Linked DNA regions of Arabidopsis thaliana. The protein of the gene in region 1 interacts with the protein of each later gene in a pairwise test. Each region holds a gene or a part of one and is shown in the gene's direction. Other genes may lie near its edges. The genes, in order: AT1G22490 and ATO.

Evidence for each region.
Region 2: the proteins of AT1G22490 (region 1) and ATO interact in binary tests that used the Arabidopsis thaliana proteins (3 or more experiments, as listed by UniProt).

The regions. Positions count from the first base shown.
Region 1 is NC_003070.9:7,937,813-7,942,266, reverse strand, and holds AT1G22490 (basic helix-loop-helix (bHLH) DNA-binding superfamily protein), read left to right. Parts: upstream 1-1,641; 5' UTR 1,642-1,777; coding exon 1,778-2,215; intron 2,216-2,681; coding exon 2,682-3,224; 3' UTR 3,225-3,670; downstream 3,671-4,454.
Region 2 is NC_003076.8:1,861,825-1,868,372, reverse strand, and holds ATO (splicing factor-like protein), read left to right. Parts: upstream 1-1,939; 5' UTR 1,940-2,074; coding exon 2,075-2,248; intron 2,249-2,677; coding exon 2,678-2,791; intron 2,792-3,260; coding exon 3,261-3,365; intron 3,366-3,474; coding exon 3,475-3,617; intron 3,618-3,720; coding exon 3,721-3,817; intron 3,818-4,243; coding exon 4,244-4,393; intron 4,394-4,472; coding exon 4,473-4,544; intron 4,545-4,827; coding exon 4,828-4,986; intron 4,987-5,083; coding exon 5,084-5,290; intron 5,291-5,366; coding exon 5,367-5,513; intron 5,514-5,603; coding exon 5,604-5,750; 3' UTR 5,751-6,048; downstream 6,049-6,548. UniProt on the Arabidopsis thaliana protein: Splicing factor homolog to SF3a60 that may be involved in pre-spliceosome formation. Is necessary for gametic cell fate determination.

The DNA.
Region 1 (4,454 bases):
ACAAAAGATTTTTAATAGACCATCATTTTATAACATGCAAGTAAATATCTCGATTTAAATATATTTTTAATAACATCACGAAACAAATTTGTTAAAACCTGACATAAAGTGATCCCCACCGGCCAAAATAAATCTTCTATTGGTTGTGTATTTTCTGACAAACATTTGTTTTAAAGATTTTTAATTTTAATCGGATACTTAACCATATATTTGATATGGAAATACATTATATTTTTGTTTAAAGTAAAATAATAGAACATGAGTGTAACTAGACGACCCCCAACCTGCAAACAGATTATTTGGTCTTGTGGACTGGTCTACTACTATCTCACGTGCAAACTTGACGCTGCAATGTATACATTTATCTATATGCATCTATGTATCTAAATAGTAATTAGTAACCATAGATAATGGATCTAATTCCACGAAGTTGGATAGATATTCTAAGGTAATATCTGGTAGAATTTTAATTTTCAAACCAAAAAAATTGTTACCAGATGTGAATGCGTAGAACTAAAAATTAATTGGCGTAGACCGTCCTAACTGGAAACTCAAATAACTTTGTTTACAAGTAGCATGTAACTGTATATATATAATGCTTTAGAATTTTTATGGTCCAATTGAAAATTTCACATTTTCGTTTTATTGTATCACTCACTTGTCCGACTGACGTAGAATTGCACGTCTTAATTTTTTTTTGGCGAAAACGCTAATCCGCAACAAAAAAATTTGTTAAAGTAGTCCGTAACTTTTTTTTTGGTTAAAGTAATCCGCAACATGACATATTAGTACTAACGAACTATTGTTTTTTCTATTAATTTTTTGCTATATTTAGAATTTTAAGTAGTTTAGCCATCACCATCTGTGTATCCTTACACTATACATATTCGGAAAAACTCGAAAGAGGTTTTAACTGGTTATGATCACCACCAGCAGTCCAGCACCAGTTTTCTTTCACTCGAACGTCAATATAAATTCACTGCCCACTATATCAGCTTTACCATTTCTTAATAAATTATTTATTATTTATTTGATTTTGAACTAAGAAAGATTATGGGTTTTTAGGAATAGTTCCAAACAATTAACATCTTAATAATAAAATTACTATATAATAAAACTAATTTATATTAAAAACATTATGAACAATTTTTTTCTTTATTTTCTTAACCTCTAATTATTATGAACAAGTTATTTAAATACAATTGGGATGATTATTACAAGTGCACTTTATATCTCCTTTTCAGTGTTTTTTATATATATATTGGTGACAAATACATCTTTTCTTTAGTTTTATTTTTCTTTTCGTTTTTGATCTCTGCGGGAGCATTTATTTTTGGTCAACTGTGAGAGCATCAAAAAAAAAAAAAAAAAAATTAATAGCCTCACAAAGCTTCTCTCAATTCCCTTTTTAAATAAATCACACCACTTTGTTTGATCCTCATATTTCGGTTTTCACTCTCATATCTTTCTTTTGTATATTTATTTTTGTTGAAGATTCACTCTCCTATTCTTCCTCCATGCCGGTGAGTTCTTGAGAATTTAATATTTTGTAAATCAATTTACAAAAAATCTTCATATAACTAATACCATGCTTAGTTTCCTTTAGTGGGCTTAACCCTTTTGCCTTTATTTCCCCCTCGAGACAAAAAGGAGAGCGACAAACACTTCCTGTCTAAATTTTGTTTTCTCTCCTTCTCTCTCCCTCTCTCGGTTTCTCAATCTTTCTTATTTTTTCCATAATTCTGAATTTTTCTTTTCAACAATCTCCGGCTAAAAAATGCCCTTAGAGGCTGTCGTATACCCGCAAGATCCATTCGGATATCTCTCCAATTGCAAAGATTTTATGTTCCACGACTTATACTCTCAAGAAGAGTTCGTAGCTCAAGATACGAAGAACAACATTGATAAGTTAGGGCATGAACAGAGCTTTGTGGAACAAGGTAAGGAGGACGATCATCAATGGCGAGACTATCATCAGTATCCTTTGTTGATCCCTTCGTTGGGAGAAGAGCTTGGTCTTACCGCCATTGATGTGGAGAGTCATCCTCCTCCACAGCACCGGAGGAAGAGGAGGAGAACGAGAAACTGCAAGAACAAGGAAGAGATCGAGAACCAGAGAATGACTCACATCGCCGTCGAGAGAAATCGCCGGAAACAGATGAACGAGTATCTGGCTGTGCTCCGTTCTCTAATGCCGTCGTCGTATGCTCAAAGAGTAACTTACTAATTCAATGTTTATATATGCTATATATCATTTGGTCAGGGTCATTCTTAGGTATATGTGTCTTTGTTTTATTACTTGCTTGGCTGTAGTACTCATTTCTCCATAATATATTAACACAAAAGAATAGAATGAAAATGACTGAGAATATATATTGATGTTTTTATACAATATATTAACAAGAAAATCCACCGTAAATATGGAAGGGTGACGCGTTTATATACATACTAATAATCTTTGCTGTTACATATTTTAATGTATTTTTTAAAATAAAATATTATGTGTCACCAAAAATTAGAACGAGTATGATTGAGAATATTGGGATATGTTTTAGAACAATTTCGTAATAAACTTAAGCAATTAGCAATGATACGTGTGTGTGTATATTTATACATTCAAAGATTTTTTCAATCTTTATGATAACTATATGATCTGACATGAGCGGGTTTTGGTGGTAAAGGGAGATCAAGCGTCGATAGTAGGAGGAGCTATAAACTACGTGAAGGAGTTAGAGCATATTTTACAATCTATGGAGCCGAAGAGAACTAGGACTCATGATCCCAAAGGAGACAAGACTAGCACTAGCTCGTTAGTGGGTCCATTCACAGATTTTTTCAGCTTCCCACAATATTCTACAAAGTCATCATCAGATGTACCGGAAAGCTCATCTTCACCGGCGGAGATAGAGGTTACGGTGGCAGAAAGCCATGCGAACATCAAGATAATGACGAAGAAGAAACCGAGGCAGCTTCTTAAGCTCATAACTTCTTTACAAAGCCTAAGGCTCACTCTTCTTCATCTCAATGTCACCACTCTCCACAACTCCATTCTCTACTCCATCAGCGTCAGGGTACGTACATTTTCAACTTCTCATCATTACTTTGTTTGCTTTTGGGGTAATCATGAGATTAAAGTGAGTAATGACTGTGTGTGTGGTGCATATGGTTTCACTTTGTTGATTTATTTTTTTGTCTCTTATTGTTGGGGGGAAATTTTGGATTAGTACTATTGTGGTTATGCCTGGGCTTTAAAAAGGTTGTGAAGAAAAATTAAAATCATTCTCTTTGTTTTTTTCTTACCTCCTTTGGGTACTTAGGGCTGGGGCCTCAATAGTTGTGGGTCAAACTCATAATCATCATTTTGATTATTATTTTTGTCAATAATAAATTGCGTATCTTAATCGTGCCTGTAAGAATCAGGGGACCAACCTAAAGAAACGAAACACGAATATGTGTCTATCTATATCCACGAATTGTATACGTGGTGTTGTGTATTTATATATGTTTATGTATATGTTTATGTACTGTGGATATATGTTCGGTGGTCACATAATTGTAGATGAGATATGTACGGACAACGAAGTGAGTCCACCATTTGTTTCAGGAGATATTTAGCAAATAGAAAGATATTTTGTTATAGTTATCTACATCCTTCTAATTTTGTTTGTTGCAACTTTTTTCAAGAATTGTTATGTATATCTTTATTTCTTAAGAGAAAATGTGTTGGTTCAGGTTGAAGAAGGAAGCCAACTGAATACCGTGGACGACATTGCAACAGCTTTGAATCAAACCATAAGGAGGATTCAAGAAGAGACATAATTCAGCAAATAGATTATAATTAACTTGTTTTATTTTTATTTTATTTTGAAATAACTGAAATCAGTTTTCTAATTTTTTTTTTTTTTCACTATTCCTCTAATCCTCCCTATGTAAGTTGCATTTTTGTCTCTTGTAATGAATCAATGGTCATAAAGATCTGAACAAAAAAATTGAATAAAAGAAAATGGTTTAAGTCGATAAGTATGTGACATTGGGCGCTAATAGCCGTTAGGCCTACGCCTAATGTACTTCTCAGTGTTTTTAGGGTTGTGTTTAGTGTATAATTATAATGATTAATAGTATGATTGATTAATTTTTGAATTTATTTTCTTCAAAGATGAATTCGTCTTTTTCTAGAACTTTTAAAGTTTGTGGGTTCAACTTTTAATCCGTTAATCACTAAATTTTAGCATGCTCCTACGATAGTGGAGGTTATACCTTTGGCTTTGAATGCAAACAAATTCTTTCTATCTAGTAACCCAAGAAAATAAAATTGAAAATAAAAAATTTGATATACAAGGTTGTATCTTTATTATAAAAAAAAACATTTAGCCGACCATAACACACATGTATAACTAACTATTCGTGGGAAATCAAACTATTTTCACCTCGATATATGAACCATATGATGGACA
Region 2 (6,548 bases), on another chromosome or scaffold:
GTTTTGCCTATAAGGCTTAAAATAACATGGGCTTAAAGCCCAATAGTCAATAAACGAGGATAAGCTTCTTCGACTAGGGTAAAACAAGTCTTCACTATATATACAATGCATCTTCGATTATAACCCCCAATTCTTAGATATTAGGGCTTATGTTCTAAATCGTGTTATTCGTATTTATCGTTTTTTTTTTAAATCGTTGCGCAGCCCTTAAGATCGCCTTCCACAAATGCTTAATGGAAGCGTGTCGAGTCATTGCTGCGCTAAATCGAAATTTATTAAGGGTTTTTGATTAGGGTTCTCCTAAGAACTAACCCAGTTTTTACCTTCCTGATTTATTATAGGTCGAGTTTTTTTATATCGGCATTAGATCTGGAATTAAGGTCCTCTCTCGCTGACTCTTCAGATATAAGTGTTTATCTCTTTTATCTGCTAGAGATCTTTGCGTTTGAGGATTTTCAGATTTTAATTTCGTTCATTTAGTATCTCGTTCTATATAATCGGGTAGGATACATTGTTTTTATTGGTTTTGCAATGAAACGGCGAGAATGATGAACCAATTAGATGTGCGAATGAGGGGTAATTTCCTCATTATGAGCTTAAAACTGTTTGAGGCATATTTAACATCTCTGACTTCGCCGCTTTTCAAAAGTTTTGTTTGAGTTTTTATTGTTTGTTTTGGTTTGATGGAATAGTGGAAAATGAGGAACATATAACTCAAACGTGAATCAAACCATGTACCAGTTTTTGCTTATTGATATTCTGATTCCACCATTTGAAATGAATAACCATATTTGCTTTGTTTTCTTGATTTGGTTTGCTGTGTTTACGATGAACTCTCATTTGCTTCTCTGTATTTATTATCTTTTTATTAAGAAGATCAACTCATACGAAATGGTGATGTTTCAAAGTGAATTACTTCCAACCTTGATATCCTTAAGTTACAATTAGCGACTCATGAACTAATCGAAATATGGTTTGCCTTAGTTTGCCGTAAAGTAAGTGATATACTGATATGTAAACGATGTTGGCATGGACTATCTTTCAAAGACAACACCTGAAACAGAATTCTTGAGCTTGGACATGGAAGTGACTAATAATGGAAAATTGTTTATAGATAAAAAAAATAATACCAAATATGAATTGTTAACGACATTTCAATTTTGTATGTCCACTCGGAGATCTTCCTTTGGTTTTACAAACATAAATCAATATCAGAAGTCATAAGATTAGTCTATGGGATTGGCTATTATTTTGTTGTCAGGTGGCAATACTTACCCCAAAATGCCCATCGTTGGTTCAATATGAATATATGATCATCCTATATAGCTCTTTCCTGAGGAAAACAACCAAATATAGCTCTTTCCATTGATCTATTAAAGATGTCATCTCAACAAACCTCAATACTATTAGGAGATAGCTTGCAAATCTTATATCATGTGAGATATCATGAATTCAATTTGAAAAGAGTGAATAAATGGCTTGTTAACTCTTTAACTTTGACAATGATGACTTGATTTTGTGTTAGTTTGCTACCAATATCAAAGCCATTCATAGTGGATGGTTGTAAACTGCCCATTTTTTTTCTGTACAACCTTCTCTCCGTTAACATCTTTGCAAATGAACCCATTGAAGTATAGTACAATATCAAACAAACACATAATGTTTGAGTATTCCCATTAAAAGAGGATTGCAATCAGATAAAAAATATATAAATTACCAAATGGAATAGATCTTAAAAGAAAATAATTACCAAATGGTATTTTACCATATTATAGATTTTTTTATAATAAGTAAAATAATAATAAAATATAAAAGAAAAAAAAGAGTCTAAAAAGGCCCAAAACACTAACAGTCAAAAAAAGGCCTAAAACACAAACCGTCTAAAAAGGCCCAAAACATAGTTCGGCTTAAACGACCCAAACCACAACAAAAACCACCCGATTATCTTTTTCTCTCGGATTGGCGTTAAAAATTTTACTGGCGAGATTTCGGATTGAGGAAAAGAAAAGTGACTGGAATTTAGGGTTTAGACTCCGGCGAAGAAGGAGATTTCAAAGCTTCGAAGACAGAGAAAATGTCGTCGACTCTCCTCGAGCAAACTCGCTCCAATCACGAAGAGGTTGAAAGGTTGGAGCGATTGGTTGTGGAAGATCTACAGAAGGAGCCACCGTCCAGCAAGGACAGATTGGTCCAGGGACATCGTGTTCGTCACATGATTGAGTCTATTATGCTCACCACTGAGAAACTTGTACGCTTTCTCTCTTCTTCTCGTCAATTTTTAATCTTCTTTTCTATTTCCCGCATATGTTTTTATGTCTCTTCTCTTTTGAATACGTTAGATCAGAGCAGAGAAACTTGGGTTGCTGATTTTTTTTTAAATAACAGGTTCGTGTTGAGTGTTGCCTCTTTTTCTGTTAATTGCTTTAGCTTTTTAGGTTATCATTGTGGGGTTTAAGTTAGCTTTGAATCACTCTGGCTTGGGTGTTAAATTGAGAAGAAACTTCAGAGATTGGTGTTGAATATAGGTTATAGTTGGGGTCTTAAGTGTGTATGTAGGGATTCTAAGTTTTGAGCTAAGCATGCTTCAGTGTTATTTCACAAATTTGAGTTAATTTTTGTTGTTGATAATTAACTCAAACTTGGATTAATGCTAACCTTGATTCTTGTTTGTTGTAAGGTTGAAACCTATGAAGATAAGGATGGGGCGTGGGATGATGAGATTGCAGCGCTTGGTGGCCAGACTGCGACAGGGACAAATGTGTTTAGTGAATTTTACGATCGTTTGAAAGAGGTTTGTTCTTTATCCTTTGCACCTTCCTTGGTCTTTTTTCCCTAAAACTTGCCTATGGTTCTCTATACCAAGACTTGGCTTTACTTTAGTTTCTGTGGGTTGTATATTAGAGATTGAGCAGCTAACTTTACCGGACTATTAGTTAATCTAGACATTGTTATTTAGCTGTTGATCTTTTAAAAAAAAATAGTTTTATTGATTGCCTTGAACCACTGTGATGGAGAATCAAGAATTATGTACAAAATCTCAGTGAAAGTGTATTAGTTCTGTTCCATCAACAATTTGGTTAGCTGTATAAGGCTTGCTTTGCATAAGAGTATTAAGGCGGTGAAATTTTCATGAGGACACCCTGAATAAGATTCAAATTGCTAATTCGTTTTTTTTTTATTGTCTGAATTATTTGATTTTCTTGTACCACTGATGAAAGCATCAGAGCTGCAACTATTTAACTTCTTTTATAAACTTACAGATACGTGAATATCATAAAAGGCATCCTTCTGGACGTCTTGTTGATGCTAATGAAGACTACGAAGCACGCCTGAAGGAGGAACCAATTATTGCGTTCAGTGGAGAGGTAGGTTTCTGCTTGACTTTTTATTGTTGCTATTTGTTGACGCATTTTTTAACAGTTTGTAAGCCCCTTTTTTATTGTCAATACTTAAATCTTCTTGTCTGTTACGCAGGAAGGCAATGGTCGGTACTTGGACTTGCATGATATGTATAACCAGTACATCAACTCTAAATTTGGGGAAAGGGTTGAATATTCTGCTTACCTTGATGTTTTTTCTCAACCAGAGAAAATACCGCGTAAACTGAAGTTATCGAGGTAAACACTTCATTGGAATTTTCTTTTACTTAGAAAGCCTCCAATTATTTTTCTAGCTGCAGCTGAATGGCTTTCCTTTTTGTATTGCTATTTTTCATTTTAGGCAATACATGAAGTATATGGAAGCTCTACTTGAGTACCTGGTCTACTTCTTCCAGCGAACCGAGCCGTTGCAAGATCTTGACCGGATACTTTCTAAGGTTTAAGCTCCTCCCTTTCTTTATCATTTTATTGCGTTTACCTTGTTGCCTTATGAAATTTTATGGGCGTTTCGAACTATGCATTAGTACATAACTGGTATATTTATTCGTGCTTAAGAAGTTTCTACTAGTTTCCCAAGTATTAAGTGTAGAACTTTGGATTTGATTTCCTTAGTTCTAACAACTGGTTGCTTTGTGAGTCTTTCATCCCCCTGGAGATAATACATAATTTTGGAAAATAAATGGCCATAACTAGATGGTTGTATTCAATATTCATTGGTGCATAGTTTGCTCTAAGTGCAGAGATTGTATATCCTCGGAAGGTTTTGAACCATGTTATAGTTTGACATTCTGGTAGTTCTAGTTTGGCCAATGCTGTGCCTATTGTTTGATCTGTTGCGATTAATATGTTTGGTTCTTTTACAGGTTTGTTCTGATTTTGAAGAGCAATATGCAGATGGAATAGTAGAAGGCCTGGATAATGAACTTATTCCATCTCAGCATACTGTCATAGATCTTGATTACTACAGTACAGTCGAGGAACTGGTAGATGTAGGACCTGAAAAGCTAAAAGAGGTAATGACCATACTACTTCATGTTAATATCCTTTTTGAAGCATATTCCCCTAATCATATGTTCTTTGTATGCCATTCAGGCATTGGGGGCATTAGGACTGAAGGTTGGTGGTACTCCGCAGCAGCGTGCCGAGAGACTTTTCCTGACAAAGGTTTTTACACTTGCTATATAATCTCCTATTTCTTTAAGTTTCGTCTTATGAGAGGGTACTTTTATCAATTAGTAGCCGCGTTCTTGTTGTTCTTACTGGGTTTGGAAGGAACATTTAGCTGTTATGAAACCTAGTTTGGTAGTTCAGCTCAGCTCTTCTTCTAATATGAAACTAAGGCTTTTGTTGTCATAGTTCATGTTTTGTAGGGATTGAATTCTATTTGAAGCTTTTCTTATTACCTTGAGGTTATCTAATTCCCTTAATTAATTCAATTTTTGTACAGCATACGCCTTTGGAAAAGCTGGATAAGAAACATTTTGCCAGACCTCCACACAACGGAAAACAAAACGGAGATGCCAAATCAACACATGAGTCTGAAAATGCTAAAGAGATTGCACTAACAGAGGCCAAAGTGAAGAAACTCTGCAATTTACTTGATGAGGTTAGTTGATTGAAAGCTCATAGTGACATTTTTTTCCCCCTCCCAGATATCTAGTTGTACTTTTTCTGTTAACTTTTCTTGTTGTCACCTTTTATAGACCATCGAAAGGACAAAACAAAACATTGTAAAGAAACAGTCGTTGACATATGAAGAAATGGAGGGAGAACGTGAAGGGGAGGAAGCTAATACCGAATTAGAAAGTGATGACGAGGACGGTTTGATTTACAATCCGCTGAAGCTACCAATAGGTTGGGATGGGAAGCCTATACCATACTGGCTCTACAAACTTCATGGCCTTGGCCAGGTATGTAGTTTATTTATGAGACCATTGTTGTATCAAAGGAACATAGATTCACATTAAATTTCTTGTTATTACGCAGGAGTTTAAATGCGAGATATGTGGGAACTATAGCTATTGGGGAAGAAGGGCTTTTGAGAGACATTTTAAAGAATGGCGACACCAACACGGAATGCGTTGCCTAGGAATCCCAAACACAAAGAACTTCAACGAAATCACTTCGATTGAGGTAATAATATAATATGATCAAAGACTTTGTACAGCTTAAAGTAGTAAATAGTTTGGTAATTTGATCTTGTTGTTGTTTGGTTTGTTTCAGGAAGCCAAAGAATTGTGGAAGAGGATACAGGAGAGGCAAGGAGTGAACAAATGGAGGCCAGAACTTGAAGAAGAATATGAAGATCGTGAAGGTAACATTTACAACAAGAAGACTTACTCTGATCTTCAACGCCAAGGTCTCATCTGATTGATCACATCCTCTTGATGAAATCTTCTCTCCTTACTATATCCCTTTAAACCATATTCTACCTTTCGCCTTTGTAAAATCAAACCATTCGTCATCTTTTTGTGAGGTTTCGTCTCATTAAAACAGTATTTAGTTTATGTTTTTGAATTGACTATCACAATCGAGGATATAAAATTTGTTTTTGTATGGACAATGCTAGTAAGGAATAGTTGAGGACTTTACTTCAATAACAAGAAACAGATATGAGTTAATATAGGATACTACATGTAAGAATCAATCACTAAAGTTTTCAGATGATAGTGTACTCACAAATTTTGAACTAATTTTTTGATCTTTGATATTCTTACAAAATTGGAATGTTTTAATTTCCTTAATTATCCAATTCCTAACAAATCATTGGTTCCTTTTTTGATAAAACTTAAAATTTGAGTCAAACTTTATAAAAATTATCAAAATAAACAGATACAACCTCAATACCTCATACGACTGTCAAATTTTTTAAAGTAAGCTATCACATAGTTTACCTTTATTTTTTTTTATTATATTTATTTACGATATTTTTTTTTTTTGAAAAATACACAGATATTTGATTTTGGTCAGATATATGTCCATATACGAAGACTTTCAAATTTTATTTGTTTTCAAAAAACCTAAACATACAATCTCATTTTGCTATTTTGGAAAGAATAATGAAATATTCCTTTCTTAATCATATTCCAAAATTTTAATTAAGAAATAAAAGTTGGGATGGGCTTTACCTTTTTTATTTACAGTCCAACGGCCTCATTCGATGACTAG